2 linked regions of the Macaca fascicularis genome follow. The protein of the gene in region 2 binds, or shares a complex with, the protein of the main gene of each other region. Links are inferred from orthologs where the notes say so. Each region holds a gene or a part of one and is shown on either strand. Other genes may lie near its edges.

Evidence for each region.
Region 1: EXOSC4 (region 2) and EXOSC1 share a complex: the UniProt entries of both Homo sapiens proteins name them as parts of the RNA exosome core complex. The link is inferred for Macaca fascicularis from reciprocal best matches to the Homo sapiens genes EXOSC4 and EXOSC1.

What each region holds. Positions count from the first base shown.
Region 1 is NC_088383.1:106,395,471-106,405,681, reverse strand, and holds the start of EXOSC1 (exosome complex component CSL4), read left to right. Parts: upstream 1-5,448; 5' UTR 5,449-5,470; coding exon 5,471-5,501; intron 5,502-5,608; coding exon 5,609-5,724; intron 5,725-8,139; coding exon 8,140-8,214; intron 8,215-10,211. UniProt on the Homo sapiens protein: Non-catalytic component of the RNA exosome complex which has 3'->5' exoribonuclease activity and participates in a multitude of cellular RNA processing and degradation events.
Region 2 is NC_088382.1:153,746,517-153,756,277, reverse strand, and holds EXOSC4 (exosome complex component RRP41), read right to left. Parts: upstream 5,547-9,761; 5' UTR 5,439-5,546; coding exon 5,268-5,438; exon of another isoform or gene 4,951-5,267; intron 4,237-4,950; coding exon 4,030-4,236; intron 3,939-4,029; coding exon 3,579-3,938; 3' UTR 3,531-3,578; downstream 1-3,530. Other genes in the region: GPAA1 (glycosylphosphatidylinositol anchor attachment 1 protein), read right to left, coding at 88-161. UniProt on the Homo sapiens protein: Non-catalytic component of the RNA exosome complex which has 3'->5' exoribonuclease activity and participates in a multitude of cellular RNA processing and degradation events.

The DNA.
Region 1 (10,211 bases), on a different chromosome or scaffold from region 2:
TGTGGATCCTGCACCGAGATATTCCCTGGTGCTATTTAAGTCTTGGCAAAAGATACTCTTCCTTCCTATTCCCTCTGGGCTGACGTCACAGGCTAGCCGACTCAACCTGGTAGCATGACATTCCCTGTCTCCTGTCAGGACAGCCAGCTACCCCTTGCATGACAGAAAATACTTTGTCTCCAATTCCATTCCCAGCCCCACTCCTAAGGAAATGGTAGCTAAGATAACTCCAGGTATTCTGAGCCAAAACCACAGGAAGGAGTCACGAGCAATGGGAGGGGACCTCCATGTTGATTCATGAAGGCCTTGGGGGCCTGACCTCTCTGATGGACTCCACTGCCCCAGTCTAATTAGACACTCAAGAACCTTCTCTGCAGCTGCTGCCTTAGCCCCAAGCTGCCCAACCAGACTTCCCAGTTCACTGCTTCTGTGGCACCTCTACCAGTGCCTCCATCTCCTCTCTGCAGTTTCTACCTCATGCAGCAGCCATGGGAAGAGATCAGCTACCTGGGCAATGACCAGAAGACACAGATGCGCTAACAGATGACAGTTTCATCAGTTCTGCAGATTAAATACTTTCTTTTTTTTTTTTTTTTTTTTTTTGAGACGGAGTCTCGCTCTGTCACCCAGGCTGGAGTGCAGTGGCCGGATCTCAGCTCACTGCAAGCTCCGCCTCCCGGGTTCACGCCATTCTCCTGCCTCAGCCTCCCGAGTAGCCGGGACTACAGGCGCCCGCCACCTCGCCCGGCTAGTTTTTTGTATTTTTTAGTAGAGACGGGGTTTCACCGTGTTAACCAGGATGGTCTCGATCTCCCGACCTCGTGATCCGCCCGTCTCGGCCTCCCAAAGTGCTGGGATTACAGGCTTGAGCCACCGCGCCCGGCCTAGATTAAATACTTTCACCAGAAAGAAAAATTATCTGATTTTGCCCTGAGGCAGCCAGGGAGGGCTGCTTTGTCCTTGACAACCCCATTGACTTACTTAACAGGTAGCTCAAAACCCAACAGAAACTGGAGGAGGCTGCTCCACTGCAGGGACGGTTTCAATTCTGTAACTGGAGCACTGTACTCTCCTTGCACCCTGGCTCATCCCCACAAAAGACCTTTCAAAGAAAACACTTAATTACCTCCTTGCACAAGCCCTGTAAGCTCTAAGGCGAAAACGAACTCAGCAGACAAGGTCTACAGAGGAGAAAGCACAATTCGGTAGGGACCTACACAGCACCAGGATAAATAAACCGTCTGTTCCTGTCACCTCCTAGGAAGCTAAAAGAATTAAAGGGAGTGTAGAAAAGATAAAAAAAGGCCAGGCATGGTGGCTCACGCCTGTACTCCCAACACTTTGGGAGGCTGAGGCAGGTGGATCACTTGAGGTCAGGAGTTAGAGACCAGCCTGGCCAACATGGTGAAACTTTGTCTCTACTGAAAATACAAAAAAATAGCTGGGCACGGTGGCACATGCCTGTAATCCTGGCTACTTGGGAGCCTGAGGCAGGAGAATGGCGTAAACCCGGGAGGTGGAGGTTGCAGTGAGCCGAGATCACACCAGTGCACTCCAGCCTGGGAGACAAGAGTAAGACTCCATCTCAAAAAAAATTTTTTTTAAAAAAGCTCAAGCTCAAACTTCCACCCCTATTGTTTGGAGGCATGATTTGGCTTGTAGCATGAATTTTTAAAGTGGTAGATACCCACAATCAAATGTAAGAGTGGGACAAAACAGATTACCCCACAACAAATCTAGGTGGCTGTGGGACTGTCCACATCACTGTTCATTCCCTTTCTATAGCTAATGGAGAGTTTCCTATTTGCCAAAATACTTTTTGTAGTATTAGCATGCAAATCCAATGCATTCCTCATTTGTAATAAACTCGAATTATATGCTACTTCACACCTCTTCTAGTCTTAAAAAAAAAAAACTTCTGTTCTCCACTTTTCAGATCATTCTCAACCACGTCCTAAATTCCTGAGCGCTACAGGAAATGCCTGCCTCAAGGACTAGATTTACCCAATTCCTTAGGGTTCAATTCTGTCCCTAAGCAGTTCTGTAGCCTCGGACAAATCATTCAACCCTGCTGGGACTCAATCTCCTTGTGTTCACATTCAGTGAGGGAGTGGGATTAAATGCTGAAGTCCCTTCCAGCTCTCACCCTTATTGATTCTGTAACTATACGGATACAGTCAACGCCCGTATCTGCGGAGGGATTGGTTCCAGTCCTCCCTTCAGATACCAAAATCTATGGATGCTCAAATCTGTTATAAAATGGCATAGGCCGGGCGCGGTGGCTCAAGCCTGTAATCCCAGCACTTTGGGAGGCCGAGACGGGCGGATCACGAGCTCAGGAGATCGAGACCATCCTGGCTAACACGGTGAAACCCCGTCTCTACTACAAAATACAAAAAAACTAGCCGGGCGAGGTGGCGGGCGCCTGTAGTCCCAGCTACTTGGGAGGCTGAGGCAGGAGAATGGCGTAAACCCGGGAGGCGGAGCTTGCAGTGAGCTGCGATCTGGCCACTGCACTGCAGCCTGGGCGACAGAGAGAGACTCCGTCTCAAAAATAAATAAATAAATAAAATAAAATGGCATAGTATTTGCATATAACCTATACATATCCTCCCATATACTTTAAATCATTTCTAGATTACTCATAATACCTAATACAAAGTAAATGCTACACATAAACACTTTTTTTGTTTGTTTTTGAGATGAAGTCTTGCTCTGTTGCCCAGGCTGAAGTACAGTGGCAAGATCTCGGCTCACTGCAACCTCTGTCTCCTGGGTTCAAGCAATTCTCCCTGCCTCTGCCTCCCAAGTAGCTGGGATTACAGGCACCCGTCACCTCCCCCAGCAAATGTTTGTATTTTTAATAGAGACAGGGTTTCACAATGTTGGCAAGGCTGGTCTTAAACTCCTGACCTCAGGTGATCTGCCTGCCTTGGCCTCCCAAAGTGCTGGGATTATAGGCGTAAGCCACCACCCCCGGCTGCCCCCAAGTATTTCCAATCCATGGTTGGTTGAATCTGCGATGTGAAGCTCACAGGTATGAAGGGCAAACTGTATTTGGTAAGTGTAAATGAAATGTTTATAAAGCACTTAGCACAATACTTGGCTCATGGAAGTACTCAAATATTTGTTGAACGAATGACCTGGAGGGATGCAGAAGTGGAAAGCCTGGCCAGATGTCTATCTGTCCTACAAATACCAACAAGGACACTCTTGCCAATGTGATAACTCTAAATAAGTGTCTCCTGCTATCATTCTGTCTGATTAATAAAGAGAGAAATACAAACTGTTATTAAAATCATGGCACTTAGGAGCTAGAAGTCATTTTTGAAAACAAGCCCAACCAGAAATCAGCCCAACCGTGTAAATAGAAAGCTCCTAGATGCACAGATACAGATTTGGGTGAACAAAGTCTGAAGCTAGGGCCTCTCTCCATTAGCTAATGGGGTACAGGGTGCCAGGAAATTGATATATGTAGTAAGTGGGCTGCAACTGAACATACAAACTTTTTTTTTTTTTTTTTTTGAGACTGAGTTTTGCTCTTGTTGCCCAGGCTGGAGTGCAATGGCACAATCTGGGCTCACCACAACCTCCGCCTCCTGGGTTCAAGCAATTCTCCTGCCTCAGCCTCCTGAGTAGCTGGGATTACAGGCATGCACCCCCACGCCCGGCTAATTTTGTATTTTTTTAGTACAGACGGGGTTTCTCCATGTAGGTCAGGCTGGTCTCGAACTCCCAACCTCAGGTGATGCGCCTGCCTCAGCCTCCCAAAGTGCTGGGATTACAGGCGGGCCACCGCACCTGGCCCAGACTTTTCATCTCAGGAAATAGAGGTAAAGCAAAATTCAAAAATATGTGTGTAGGGAAGAAGGGGGTAATCTCAGTGAACAGGGGAGGAAACAGAGCAAAGCGCAGCTTTACTACCACCCCAAGCACAAGCCCGAGTACTCTCATCCCTCAGTAACAGTCACAGGCCATAGTGGTCGTCTGCCACCAGACAGGAGGAGATTGCAGGCCACAGCACTTCCCTCTTCCAATGGCTCTAAGTCACCATCTGTTTCCCAAGGGGAAAGTCGACTGAGGGGACAGGGAGGGACAGGCGGCAAAGCCATCAGAAGTCAGGTGAACTGAGATCAAAGTCGTGGGCAATGTCATCTGGACAAGGACGCTGCTCTCGGGATGTTTGCAATCTCAAGTAGGAGATACCAGACATCAATAAAGAGTAGCATTTTATTCACGTGCAGACCTCCCTTCTGGGGTAACACGCTGAGAAGAAAAAGTAGCAACTTTATTTTGGGGCTGCTTATCTTTTGATGACGGGCCCACACAACCAGAGTTCGGCTTTTTCAACCTGAGAAAGCTTACTTAAGTGGGGATGGGAGGCCGCGAAGGGGATCGGACCGCAGGACTGGAAGCTACAGTTAAAAAACCGGGAAAAGGCCGGGCGCGGTGGCTCACTTTGGGAGGAATCACCTGTAATTCCTGCACTTTGGGAGGCTGAGGCGGGCGGCTCAAGAGATCGAGACCATCCTGGCCAACATAGTGAAACCCCGTCTCTACTGAAAATACAAAAATTAGCTGGGCGTGATGGCGCGCGCCTGTAGTCCCAGCTGCGCGGGAGGCTGAGGCAGGAGAATCGCTTGATGCCAGGAGGCGGAGGTTGCAGTGCGCAGAGATCGCGCCACTGCACTCCAGCCTGGCCAAAGAGCGAGACTCCTTTTCAAAAACAAAACAAAACAAAAACCGGGAAAAGGTTTTATTTCTCAATGACAGCCGCGAGGTGAAACTGCGATGGACTGGAAGTCAAAAATCGCGGGTTCCAGTTTGGGCTCTATCTTGAAGATTTTGGACAAGTCAAACCCGGTCTCTGAATCTGAGGTTCCACATCTGTGAAACAGACGAGTTGGGTCGCTTGACCTCCTTCCTTCCTGCTCTGAACGTAACGGTTGCTCGCAAGGTGCGCTCCGGCTGAGGAGGGCGCAGCCCCGCAGGGCAGGGCGAGGAGAGAGCAGGAACCCGGACTCAAGACAAGGCCCCAGGGCATTGCCCGACCCAGAAAAAGGGACTAGGATGGGGAGCAAGGGCCGAGGCTTCGCCCTTACCTGCCGCCTGCCGACTCCCCAGTCAGCCAAACCGAGCCCCGCAGCCTCTGCCGCCGCTCACTGCCACCGCCTCCGACTCGGCGCCCCGGCCGGGCCCGGCTCAATCCAAACCACCATGGCCCGCCGCCTGCAGTGCCACCCAGCGGACCCGGACCTGCCGCCAGCCCATCCTCAACCACACGCGCAGGCGCAAGCATGGAGCGCTGAAGTTCCGCCCCCGGATTTGTCCCGGGGTAACCTGGGAAATGGAGTTTACACGCAAGGATAAAGAACACCAATTGACGCGTATCTTACTGCGGAACTGTGCCTGGGTTTGGCCAATGAGAAATCGATTTCGTTTTCATCCGGGTTTTGGGACAGCGGCAATCATGGCACCACCTGTGAGATACTGTATTCCCGGTAAGTGAGCGCTTCCCGTACAGAGTCCTGGATAGGGGCCGAAGCAAGAAGCCTGGACGGCCTGCAGTTTCTGGGGGCCCATGACCGATGCAGCATTTTTTCTGCAGGCGAACGTCTGTGTAACTTGGAGGAGGGCAGCCCGGGCAGCGGCACCTACACCCGCCACGGCTACATCTTTTCGTCGCTTGCCGGCTGCCTGATGAAGAGCAGCGAGAACGGCGCGGTAAAGGAAGCGGCATGCCGTCTCCTCTCTCTCTGTTTTTCCCTTAGGCTGCCCTTGAGTTCCAGTCCTTAGGCATGGGCACTGCGGACGCGTCTTTAGAGCCTTAGTGGTACAATGTTGGTCTCTTAGTTTCTTCTAGCCGTATCGCCGCTGTTGTGCACTTAGCCACCACACACTAGTTGTGTTGATCTCGCTTGGTTGTGCTGCTGACCCTCGGGGAGGGAGGTTGGGACAAAAGCAGATGCGAACTCAGTAACCCAGCCCAGCTCAGCCCAGCAGTGCGTTGTATACTGTATGAATGTTGCTTACCTCTCCGGCTTTATCTAGTGCCACTATCTCCACCTCACTGACGCAATCTAATCATACAGTCTTTTCTATTTGTAAAAGTTATAATCACAGTTTTGGCTTGCCCTTTTAAAAAAATTTGTAACACACTAGCTTCTTTCAGTGTCGGTAATGTGCCAAGCTTTCTCCTGCTACAGAGCCTTTGTAACATGCCATCTATCTGGAACGCTTCTGTCTTCTTAGGCCTGTTTAATTCCTACCTCCGTTAGTTTCTGTATTATCACCTCAGAGAAGCCCTTCTGGACCCACTAATTGAGGAAAGGAGTTTTGTGGGATGTTTTGTTTTTGTTTGTTTTGTTAAAGACTTACAAAAAACTCTGTCCCTTTTCTTCCAAGCACTTATGTCAGCATATGATTAGACACTCAGGTATGTTTCCCACTAGACTTCTCCCTTGCTTAAATCTAAGTTCCACGAAGTGCAGGTGCTACCACCATACCATCAGTATCTAGCACAAAGCAGCTCCTCAATAAATGTTTGTTGAATGCGTAATACCTACCTTTCTAGTTTTAGAGATTGATCCAGGATTAGCTCAGGATCATATAAGCAATATTTGAAGGAGCACAGTAGAAAGAGGATTCAGAATTAGAACCGTTAGGTTCTGGCTAACTTGACCTCGATTCTGCTTTGAGTAAGTAACTTAAGCCGTCTGACTCAAGGGGCTTTCTATTCAGTCATTGTTGGGAATGTCCTTAACAGTCCTGAGTTTGTTCATTTGATAGATACCACTTGAGTATTTTCATGTGTCAGGCACAGCGCTGACTTGGTTTCTGCTATCAAAGGACACAGACACAAATTGTAAACAAATAAATGCTCAAATAAGCATATGGTTACACATGTGGTGGCTGCTTTGAAAGAATATTACAGGGCACCTTAAGAACATGTAACAGGCAAATCCATCCTAGTCAGCAGAAGTGACATTGAAGCTGAATCATCTAAAGAGTAGGTTAGAGTCAGGTGGGTGGAGAGAGTGCAATTCTGGCAAAAAGAATAGGTTGAAGAGAGATCTGAAAGTGGGAAGAATTTAGTAAGTTGGGGAAACTGAAAGAAGGCCAGGAGAGCTGAAGCATTGTAAGCAACGGAGAGATTGTTAAAAGATGAGGCTCAAAATATCTGTCTCATACTAACAGCCAATACCATGCTCAAAGAGAAAACTCTGCAAGTATTCACTTAAAACAAGTGTAGCTACTATTTGTAACATTTCTGTGGAAATTTCAGCCTGTGCAGTAAAATAAGAAACAGAAAGAAGCAGTATAACTTTGGAGGAAAGAATAAAATTGTCAGCCAGATGTAGTGGCTCACGCCTGTAATCCCAGCACTTTGGGAAGCCAAGGTGGGTTGATCACCTGAGGTCAGGTGTTCGAGACCAGTCTGACCAACATGGTGAAACCCCATCTCTACTAAAAATACAAAAAATTACCCGAGCATGGTGGCAGGCGTCTGTAATCCCAACTACTCGGGAGGCTGAGGCAGGAGAATCACTTGAACCCAGGAGGTGGAGGTTGCAGTGAACCGAGATGGCGCCATTGCACTCCACTCTGGGCAACAAGAGTGAAACTCCATCTCAAAAAAAAAACCAAAAAAAGTAAAATTGTCAATGATTATAGGCAATATAGTTGTATACCAAGAAATTCTGAGAGAATCACCAGAAAACTTATTGGAAGTTTAGGGATTTACTACAAAAAAAATTAGCCGGGCGTGGTGGCAGGTGCCTGTAGTCTCAGCTACTTGGGAGGCTGAGGCTGGAGAATGGCATGAACCCGGGAGGTGGAGCTTGCAGTGAGCCGAGAATATGCCACTGCACTCCAGCCTGGGCAACAGAGCAAGACTCCATCTCCAACGACAACAACAAAAAAAGAAGTTTAGAGGTTTACATCTTCTAGCAGCATTCTGTAGCCCCCTGGTCCTCCTATTTCCTAAAATTTCTAAGGCCTTCTGCTCTGGCCTATAAATGAATGCATACTCCAGCTCTCACCTGTGTACCAAGACATTCCTATATTACTCTCAAGACACAAATGCTTTGACCCAAGAGTTAGCCAGGACATTTCAGTTTTTTCTTTTTCCCTCCGTAGCTTCCTGTGGTGTCTGTAGTAAGAGAAACAGAGTCCCAGTTACTGCCAGATGTCGGAGCTATTGTAACCTGTAAGGTAAGTTTGTCCTAACTTCCATGCTTAGAATGCCCATTCAGTGCTGAAATCATGACCATGCCAGAACTGCAGTGTCCAGTATGATAGCCACAAGCTACATAAATGTATTTCTGGCGGGGCACAATGGCTCACACTGGTAATTCTTACACTTTAAGAGGCCAAGGCAGGCTGGGCGCAGTGGCTCACGCCTATAATCCCAGTGCTTTGGGAGGCCAAGGGGGACTGATCACAAGGTCAGGAGATTGAGACCATCCTGGCTAACACGGTGAAACCCCGTCTCTACTAAAAATACAAAAAAAATGAGCAGGGCATGGTGGCGGGTACCTGTAGTCCCAGCTATGTGGGAGGCTGAGGCAGGAGAATGGCGTGAACCCGGGAGGCGGAGCTTGCAGTGAGCTGAGATCGCGCCACTGCACTCTAGCCTGGGCAACAGAGCGAAATTCTGTCTCAAAGGAAAAAAAAAGGCCGGGCGCGGTGGCTCAAGCCTGTAATCCTAGCACTTTGGGAGGCCGAGACGGGCGGATCACGAGGTCAGGAGATCGAGACCATCCTGGCTAACACGGTGAAACCCCGTCTCTACTAAAAATACAAGAAAATTAGCCGGGCGAGGTGGCAGGCGCCTGTAGTCCCAGCTACTCGGGAGGCTGAGGCAGGAGAATGGCGTGAACCCGGGGGGGCGGAGCTTGCAGTGAGCCGAGATCGTGCCACTGCACTCCAGCCTGGGGCACAGAGCAAGACTCCGTCTCAAAAAAAAAAAAAAAAAAAGAAAAAAAAAAAAAAAAAGAGGCCGAGGCAGGAGGATTGCTTCAACCCAGAGTTCAAGACCAGCCTGGGAAACATAGTGAAACCTCATCTCTACAAAAAGAATCAAAAATTGCTGGGCACTGTGGCTCACGCCTGTAATCCCAGCACTTTGGGAGGCCAAGGTGGGTAGATCACCTGAGGTCAGGAGTTCGAGACCAGCCTGGCCAATCATGGCTAACATGATGAAACCCCATCTCTACTAAAAATACAAAAATTAGCTCAATGTGGTGGCACATGCCTATAATCCCAGCTACTCGGGAGTCTGAGGCAGGAGATTTGCTTGAACCCGGGAGGCCGAGGTTTCAATGAGTCCGCGTCACGGCACTCCAGCCTGGACAACAGAGTGAGACTCTGAAAATTAAATAAATAAATAAATAAAAATAAAAAATTAGCCAGGCATGGTAGCACATGCCTGTGGTCCCAACTACTTGGTAGGCTGAGGCAGGAGGATCGCTTGAACCCAGGGGGTTGGGGCTGCAGTGAGCCATGATCACTGCAGCCTGGGTAACGACAAGACTTGTCTCTCAAAAATAAGGGCTGGGCGCGGTGGCTCACGCCTGTAATCCCAGCACTTTGGGAGGCCGAGACGGGCGGATCATGAGGTCAGGAGATCGAGACCATCCTGGCTAACACGGTGAAACCCCGTCTCTACTAAAAAAATACAAAAAAATTAGCCGGGGCCGGGCGCGGTGGCTCAAGCCTGTAATCCCAGCACTTTGGGAGGCCGAGGCGGGCGGATCACAAGGTCAGGAGATCGAGACCGCAGTGAAACCCCGTCTCTACTAAAAATACAAAAAATTAGCCGGGCGCGGTGGCGGGCGCCTGTAGTCCCAGCTACTCAGGAGGCTGAGGCAGGAGAATGGCGGGAACCCGGGAGGCGGAGCTTCCAGTGAGCCGAGATCGCGCCACTGCACTCCAGCCTGGGCAACAGCGTGAGACTCCGTCTCAAAAAAAAAAAAAAAAATTAGCCGGGCGAAGTGGCGGCGCCTGTAGTCCCAGCTACTCAGGAGGCTGAGGCAGGAGAATGGCGGGAACCCGGGAGGCGGAGCTTGCAGTGAGCTGAGATCCGGCTACTGCACTCCAGCCTGGGCGACAGAGCGAGACTCCTTCTCAAAAAAAATAAATAAATAAAATAAAATAAAATAAAATTGGTTTCCTTAGTCACATTAGCCACATTTCAAGTACTCAGTAGC
Region 2 (9,761 bases):
CGGCCCTCGATGGGCACCGCGCAAGGGCCGCCGCCAGCGCGAGTTCCAGGGCTTTCGGGTCCCCGCCTCCCCGGGCCCTGTTCTCACCACAGCGGCGCGTTGAGGCGCAGCACGAGGCGGGCGAGCGCGCGCCGGCGAACGGGGTCCGACAGGAGGCCCATGGCGGGGCAGGGCGGCGCGGCGACGGACCCTCTGCCGTCTCCGGACCCTCTGCCGCCTCCAACTACCGCCGCGGTGCCCGCAGGCTGCTCCTGTCAGACCCGTGGACCGCGCTCGCCCGCACTTCCGGTCCCAGCGGCGCCCGCGACGGCGCGCATGTCCGGAGCACAAGACGCGCCCCCAACACCCCGTACTGCCGGCGGCGCGCAAGCCCAGACAGCGGCTGGCTGCAGGGTGGGCGGTGCTGGTGAAGCCGGAAGGACGCGAGCGGGTTGGGGAGTCCGCTAGGCGCTGCCCCCAGGAGAGTCGGACCCGCAGTGCACCGCCCCGGAGGGAGGCAGGTAGCCCTACAGTCGGAGGAGAGCAGAGAAGATGCCCGACAGCAGGCCGAGCTGGTCGGGGCAGCGAGCTATCGCCCACTGGAAGGCCCGCAGGAGTCAGAGGTGATGAGCCGGGCAGTATCGCGGGAAACCCACCCCCGATATTCGACGTGGGTCCTTTTCTATTTTCCCTAAGTGGGGCTGGTCTGAGAAATAAAGGGAAAGAGTACAAAAGAGAGAAATTTTAAAGCTGGGTGTCCGGGGGAGACATCACATGTCGGCAGGTTCCATGATGCCCTCCAGCCATAAAACCAGCAAGTTTTTATTAGCAATTTTCAAAAGGGAGGGAGTGTACGAATAGGGTGTGGGTCACAGAGATCACATGCTTCAAGGGCGACAAAAGATCACAAAGCAGAAGGCCATGGCGAAACTCGAATCACTAATGAATTTCCATGTCCGGCTGTGCACGCATTGTCAGGGTTCAAGAGCAGAGAACCGGTCTGACTAGAATTCGCCAGGCTGGAACTTCCTAATCCTAGCGAGCCTGGGGGCGCTGCAGGACACTAGGGCACTTCATCCCCATCTACATCTGCATAAGGCAGACACCGCCAGAGCGGCCATTTCAGAGGCCTCCCCTAGGAATGCATTCTTTTCCCCCAGGGCTGTTAATTATTAATATTCCTTACTGGGGAAAGAATTCAGCGATACTTCTCTTACCCGTTTTCAGTAACAAGAGAAATATGGCTCTGTCCTGCCTGGCCCACAGGCAGCCAGACTTTAAGGTTATCTCCCTTGTTCCCCAAGATCGCTGTTACCCTGTTCTTTTTTCAAGGTGCCCAGATTTCATATTGTTTAAACACACATGCATTAAACGAACAATCTGTGCAGTTAACGCAATCATCACAGGGTCATGAGCTGATATACATCCTCAGCTTATGAAGATGATGGGATTAAGAGATTAAAGACAGGCATAGGAAATCACAAGAGTATTGATTGGGGAAGGGATAAATGGCCATGAAATCTTTTTTTTTTTTGAGACGGAGTCTCACTCTGTCGCCCAGGCTGGAGTGCAGTGGCGCAATCTCAGCTCACTGCAAGCTCCGCCTCCCGGGTTTACGCCATTCTCCTGCCTCAGCCTCCCGAGTAGCTGGGACTACAGGCACCCGCCACCTCGCCCCGCTAGTTTTTGTATTTTTTTAAGTAGAGACGGGGTTTCACCGTGTTAGCCAGGATGGTCTCGATCTCCTGACCTCGTGATCCACCCGTCTTGGTCTCCCAAAGTGCTGGGATTACAGGCTTGAGCCACCGCGCCTGGCCGTCCATGAAATCTTTACAATTTATGTTCTGTCATGGCTTTAGCGGTTACCTCTGTTCGGGGTCCCTGACTTCCCACAACAGGGCAGGTGGGTGGAAAGCCGGCGGCGGTCAGAGAATGGATGCCAAGCGATACTGTCAATGACTCAGGACGTCCCAGTGGAGTCACAGCATGAGCCCAGCACCAAGGTTTTCTGAGTCAGATGACCGCAGAGATGCTGATAGCACTACTGGCCAAAATGGGCTTCACTAGAGCTGGGGTGTGTGCAGTATAAAGTAGGGGAGCATACTGTCCCTGTCCAGGCCAAGAGATCCTTGGAATATTAGGGGAGCAGCAGCCCCAGGGTCCACACTGCAGGAGCTGGTAGTCAGGGCTCCGGCAGGTCTGTGGGCCAGAGGTGAATGAAGGGGTAGTTTGCTCAAGAAGAGGATGCACTTTGGGAAGGTGAGGTGGGAGGATCCTTTGAGACCAGCCTGGACAACAAAATGAGACCCAGTCTCTACACACAAAAAAATTCTTTTTAAATTAGCCAGGTAGGTGGGACATGCCTGTAGTCTTAGTTCAGGAGGCCAAAGTGGGAGGATCACTTGAGCCTAGGAGATTGAGACTGCAGTGAGCCGTGATCACACCACTGCACTCCAGCCTGAGCACAGAGCAAGACTATGTCTCAACAAATAAATAGTGGTGGGCAGAGAGAAGGGTCAAAACTGAAGACTCCATGTGAGAACAATTTTTTTTTTTTTTTTTTTTTTGAGACAGAGTCTTGCTGTCATCCAGGCTGGAGTGCAGTGGTGCTATCTTGGCTAACTGTGACCTTCATCTCTGGTTCAAGTGATTCTCCTGCCCCAGCCTCCCTAGTAGCTGGGACTACAAGTACCTGCCACCACACTAATTTTTGTATTAGTAGAGATGGGGTTTCACCATGTTGGCCAGGCTGGTCTCGAACTCCTGACCTCAAGTGATCCATGAGAACAGGTAATTTTTGTACTTTTATTTTTTTTAGATGGAGTCTTGCTCTGTCGCCCAGGCTGCAGTGCAGTGGCACGATCTCGGCTCACTGCAACCTCCGCCTCCCCGGTTCAAGAGATTCTCCTGCCTCAGCCTCCTGAGTAACTCAGATTACAGGCATGTGCCACCACCCCCAGCTAATTTTGTATTTTTCGTAGAGACGGGGTTTCACCATGTTGGCCAGGATGGTCTCAAATTCCTGACCTGAAGCAATCCGCCTGCCTCAGCCTCTCAAAGTTCTGGGATTACAGGTGTGAGCCACCATGCCTGGCTGTTGCATTTTTTAGAGCCCAAGGTAAGCAGCAGGAAAAGCCCAAGGGGCTCCAGGCCATAGTCCAGAGGCCATGGGACATGGCCCCCACATCTCTAGGTTGGGTACTCAGAGCCAGCTGAGTTCTCCCTCAGCCCTTTGCTCAGGGCCCCGGATGTGCCAGAGTAAGGGTAACAGATTCCTCAGTCCAATGACCTGCTCATCTTGCCAGGCCCTGCCTCCTGCTCAGCTGCCTTGAGTCCTTACTGGGACATGTTGCTTTTTCCACCCAGGACCTCCCCCACAGCAACCCCCTAATCCACTGTTCTTTTCAGGGTTTGAATTAGGCTACACAGAGATAGGCAGTTCATGTGTGGGCGAGGGGCCCTGGTCATCCCCAGGAGCCAGCACCAGACCAGGCTCTGCCAGGCTTCACATGGCTCTGAAGTGCTATTGGGTGATTAACGTACAGTGAGGGTTGTGTGGGCAGAGGAGGGTTTTATTCTGGACATGGGTGGCTGGGTGGTCAGTCCCCCAGCAAGATAGAGGCCTCACGCACATGCTGCCTGACCACTCTGTCCAAGAGGGTGTGCACATCTCGAGCAGCCTGGGCAGCAGCCTCCAACACCCGCTCCAGGTGGTCCTCGTGCAGCCGGGCATCCATCTCAAGCAGCGCAATCTGTCCTGAGGCTGGCAGCAGGGCCAGGGCCAGCTGGGGGCCACCAGCTGCTTCCTCCACATGGCTGAGGTCCGCCAGGGCTGTGCCGTCCACAAAGCCAGCTGAGCACGCACACACAAAGTCTCTCATGGGTATCCCAGCATCCAGCACTGCCAGTGTGGCCGCATTCACACAAGCTGCATAGGTCCCACCATCTGCCTGTAGCACCTGCAGGGACCCCAGGGTGTGAGTCTATCAGACTCTCTCCCCAACCCCATCACACCCACCCCTCCCTGGATTGACACTGCAGCCGGCTCACCTGCACATAGATATCAATCTGGGAACGTGGGTGCAGCTGTGTAAGGATGGCTGCCTCGAAAGTCTGGCGGAGCTGCAGGCCCATCTCACAGGACTTCCGGTCCCCATGTGGCCGTCGCTTGCGCTCACCTGTGCTGAAGGTCGCTGAACTATATTGACAGTTCACTAGGGCCCTGTCCGGCAGGGCTCGAGCCCGGGAACCCCGGATCTGGAAGAGGACGGACACATGAGCCAGGCCCACTCCTTCCAGCTCACACGCCACTGTCCTCTGTGGGTCTGCCTCTCCCTCCACTTTCAATGCCTCAGCAAGGGGCAACTACATTACCTCCAAAACAAAGCCCCCTGTTTTGCACTGTCTTGCATGTGTTGCCCTCTGGCATCTTTTAATTGGCTTCCTTGTGCCCATCCTTGCCCCATTCCCTGCCAACCCAAGTTTACAAACATCAAGGCTGATTCTGTCTCACCTTCACACTCAAATCCTAATTACCTTACAAAGGTTTCACATTACATATGAAATAAAATCCCAAATCATTTCCCTGGTCTACAAAACCCTAATTCCTCACCTCCCCGGGAACTCTCAACCTTATTTAGAGTTATCCCCTCTTTCCCCACCAGCAGTCTTTCTGTTATGCATGAGTGCCTTGCTTGTTTTCACCACCGTGGTCTTCGCCCTCCTGGTTCCCTCCGCCTGGAAAGCAGAGCTCCTACCCTCATGCGCTAAACAAACACTCTTTCAATACCTTCACTGGCCAGGCACAGTTACAGCGCTGGAAACACAGCAATGAAACCAGAGAGTTTTATGTAGTTTCTGTCCTTAGGAAGCTTATGTTCTAGCGAGGAAACGGGAAAATGCTTAAGCAAAATAGGCATTTGAGATTGTAGATGCACAAAAGACAAGGGTTTATTGTAGGGAGAGAAGTACCGCATGGATAAAGCCGTCTGAGAAGGAGTGACGTCGGAGTAGAGCTGAGAGGAGAGGGAGCGAGTGGGGGAGTGCCTGGCACGTTGAAGAGCCGCAAAGAGGAGGGAGAGCGCAGGCACAGAGACCGATGAGAAAGGCAGGACCACCGCGCAGCACACTAAAGACTTGCGTTTACTCCGAGTGAGATGCAGTGCTGAGCATCGGCTGTGTAGACTGAGGCGCGCCGGCCGCACCTCTCAAGTCCCCGAACCTGTGCTCAGCCCGGCTGCCCCGCAGATCCCGCGGTCACGCGATTCCCATCCCGCACGCCCACTCGCCTCGTGCGGGCCGTAGACCACCGCCAGCGCCTTGGTGTTGCCCTGCTCGATGTAGGCCGAGCCGTCAGCCTGCGCGAACACGCCCATCCGAGCCTGGATCTTGCGCAGCTCCCCGGCGCGCCGACCGTCCACCCGGTAGCCCTGGTCCGACAAGAGCTCCAGCCCCGCCATGCTGCCCGGCCGCCAGCTCCGCTCTCTGCCTAGTTCTCTGATTCGCGGGAGAACTACAGCGCCCTGCGGCTCCGACCTCCCCAAATCTACGGTTTCCGGCGGTCCGCTATCACTTCCGGTTCCGGGGAGCTACAGCTCCCCGCGGTCCCGACCTCCCTGGATCTACGGTTTCCGGCGGTCCGCTGTCACTTCCGGTCCCGGAGAACTGGAGTTCCTCGCGGCACCGACCTCCCTGGATCTACGGTTTCTGGCGGTTCGGCTTCACTTCTGTCTCCGGGGAACTGCGGTGGCGCTGTCGGGGAAGCAGCGGTTGAGCCCGCAGCCGTTCCCGGAGCTGTGTCCCGGGTGCCAGGAGGTGGGCGCCCGCCGAAGGAGAAATTCCCGTCACGCCCTCGGGACCAGTGGTGCCTACATTCAGCCCTTCCCCGCGCCCCAAGTGTGGAAGTGGAAGGATGAACCCAGTGGGTTGCGACACTGACAGGAGAAGGCATAGAGCGGTGCTAGAAAAGTGACCAGGCTGGTGTCCCAGGATGGTCCACACCTGGCACCTCTCCAGTCCTCTCATGCCCTCCCTTTACACCGGGCTTCCACACTGCAGTCGAGTGGGCCTCCCTTTTCCTTTTGAGGTTGCAGATTTCCTCATCCTTTCCAGAGAGGGGTTGTGTGTCTGTTTATCTCTTGCCACTTAACCTCAGCGGCTTCAAATAGCAATCATTCTATTATTATGTCCTGCAGTCTTGGGTTATCTAGGCTCAGCTAGGTAGTTTGCACGTAGGCTCTCTCCTACAGTTGCTGCCAGATGGTGGCTGGGGCTGGAGCCATCCTAAAGCTTTCTCTTTCACATCTTTGGTGGCTGATGCTGGTGGCTGGCCAGGACCTCATCTGTGGCTGTCAGGCAGCACACCTACCTGTGGCTTCTCCATGCTTCCTTGCAATATGGCAGCTGGGTTCCAAGGGTAGCCTTCCAGGACAATGAGATGGACAACATGTGCATGATATTTTTAGAACCTAGCCTCAGAAGTCACATAGTGTCCCTCCTGCCAGACTCTGTGGGTCAAGGCAGTCAGACACATCTACCCAGGCTTAAGGGATGGGGACAGGGACCCCACCCTTCAGTGAGAGGAGTGTCAATATTAGACTGTAGGAACAGCAGGTGGGCTGGGGAAATGCAGTCTGCTGCAGGGGCCCAAGTTCAGCATCCCCTTAGAGGTGGTTATGCTCTCCTGAAAGACTGAGAGGCATGAGAATGAGTGAGCAAGCCACAGCCCTGCTGCTGCAGCTGGTATGAGGCCATGATAGGCCACTATCCTCTGCCACTGGCCACCACCGATTCCCCACCCTTGGCTCTGCAGCCAGACACTGCGTACTGTGGAGCAGCCCAGGCCCTTCTCCCCTTGCAGTCTGAGCTCTTCCTGTCCCTGTTCTTACTGGGTCATTTTGTTTGTTTTGTTTTTTTGAGATGGAGTCTCACTCTGTCACCCAGGCTGGAGTGCTGTGGCACAGTATCAGCGCACTGCTCCCTCCACCTCCTGGGTCCAAGTGATTCTTGTATCTCAGCCTCCCAAGTAGCTGGGAAGCTGGGATTACAGGCACCTGCCACTATGCCTGGGGAAGGTTTTTGGTTTTTTTTTTTTTTTTTTTTTTTTGGAGACGGAGTCTCACTGTCACCCAGGCTGGAGTGCAGAGGCACGATCTCAGCTCACTGCAACCTCCAGCTCCTGGGTTCAAGCGATTCTCCTACCTCAGCCTCCCAAGTAGCTGGGATTACAGGCATGCGCCACCATGCCCTGCTGACTTTTTTTTTGTAGTTTTAGTAGAGATGGGGTTTCACCATGTTGACCAGGCTGGTCTTGAACTCCTGACCTCAGGTGATCCACCTGCCTCGGCCTCCTGCCACTGCACCTGGCCATTACTGGGTCGTTGTTTCGACTGTCCACTGACAGTCCTTGCCACATGCAGGAAGACTAGACATCCAGGGAGCTCTGTGGACTGCCCACCCTAGTTGTGTAGCAGTGACCATAGCAACTCAGGAAAATGAGGACGATGTTGGTATTCAGCCTAAGTAGCCCAAAGTAGGCCAGTGATAGCTGCTACTTCAAGATCAGTGGAACCTTTGCTGTGTTCCCTGGTGGAAGTATTCGCCTTCAGGAACTAGGCCTCCAACCTGGCAGCATTCCAGGTTTAGGATTATGGGGCCACTGCTACCTCACACTTTTGGTTCTCTGATCCTCGTACTCCAGCTTTAGGGTACACACATGGGTCGATTCAAATTTTGGAGGCCTAAAGCTTATACAAATTCAGGGGCCGTGAGGAGTATCCTCAAGATCCCTCCGGAATAATCAATTTGCTAGAAGGACTCACTATAGACTCACGGCTAAGATTATTACACAGAGAAGATAGTAAGTCTGAATCAGCAAAGAGAAAAGGTGCATGGGATGAATTCCACAGGAAATCAGGCGTGAGCTGGCCAAGTGCTCTCCTGGTGGACTCCACAGGAAGAAGCTGGAGCTGTGTGTGTGAAATGCTGTCTGCCAGGGAAGCTTCTTAGACACTCAGCACCCTGGGGTTTTATGGAGGGAAGGTTACATACACAGTCTGTGCCAAGCATGTGCCCAAATTCCAGACCCCCAGAAGCAACACAGGCGTTCAGCATGAGCCATGTTTGTACAAACAGTCTAGGCACAGTGAGACACGCTTTCCAGAGAATGGAGGGAACCATCCCAAAACCCAAATTCCCAGACACCAACTCTTCAAGCTTGCCTGTGAAGAAGAGCTTCTCAGGCCTGCCGTTAACTCGTCTACGCAGTCTTCTTTTGAAACATAAGACAAAATTATATATCCAAAACTAAGTGAATAGTGAGAAAAGAAGCCCCAACACAAACATTTTAAAAGTTGACAAATACTACAAACATCACAAAATGCAGAAAACCTACAGGTTTCCCCTACATTTCTTTGATGCATTCTCTGATGCTCTGTTAAGATGACAACACTTGTTTTTTTTTTTTTTGAGACGGAGTCTTGCTCTGTTCCCCAGGCTGGAGTGCAGTGGCACGATCTCAGCTCACTGCAAGCTCCGCCTCCGGGGTTCACACCATTCTCCTGTCTCAGCCTCCCAAGTAGCTGGGACTATAGGCACCCTTCACCACGCCTGGCTAATTTTTTTTTTTTTTTATTTTTAGTAGAGACGGGGTTTCACCGTGTTAGCCAGGGTGGTCTCAATCTCCTGACCTCATGATCTGCCCGCCTCGGCCTCCCAAAGTGCTGGGATTACAGGCTTGAGCCACCATGCCCGGACGACAACACTTTTTATAATGTAACCTCCTATATGTAGAAAGAAGGTGGCAGATGCGGTGACTCGCGCCTGTAATCCCAACACTTTTGGGAGGCAGAGGCAGGTGGATCCCTTCAGTCTAGGAGTTCAAGATCAGCCTGGACAACATGGCAAAACCCCATCTCTACAAAAAATACAAAAAATTAGCTGGACATGGTGGTGCATACCTGTGGTCCCAGCTACTTGGGAGGCTGAGGTGGGAGGATCACTTCAGCTGGGGAGGTCAAGGCTGCAGTAAGCTGTGGTCCTACCACTGCACTCCAGCCTGGGCAACAGAATGAGATGCTGTCAAAACAAAAAACAAATAAACAAAAACCAAGAAAGAAAATGATTTAGTTTCTCCTCTCACATGTTTGATCAAAATTTAATTTTATTACTTATAGTTAAGTTGCTTTCAGGTAAAAGCTCCTTTGGGTAATATGTACATTTTTAGAATTGTCATTAAATTTGAGGAAATCGCTTATCAAATTTTTTCCACATGTGAGCCATAACATTTCAGGTGTTGGCTGGGTGAGGTAGCTCATGCCTGTAATCCCAACACTCTGGGAAACTGAGGCAGGAGGATCGCTTGAGGCCAGGTGTCCGAGACCAGCCTGGGCAGCATAGTGATACACTATCTCTACAAAAAAAAAAAAAAATTAAAAATTAGCTGGGCATGGTGGCACACACCTGTAGTTCCAGCTACTTGAGAGACTGAGACGGGAGGTTGGCCTGAGCCGAGGGAGTTCAAAGCTGCTGTGAGCTATGATCGCTCCACTGCACTCCTGCCCGTACCACAGAGTGAGGCTCTGTCTCAAAAAACAAACAAAAAACCCCAGAACCCTCCCCCCAAATAAAAATGAATTTGAGTTTGGGTTTTCTTGCTTGTGACTACTCTTAGATCCTCTTTGAGTTGACACTTGGCCAGTGTCATCAGCTTGTTGTGTTAACATGGAGCCGAGGGAGATGGGTGTTTCTGGAAGCCATTTCTACACCAGAATGACCAGCGACAG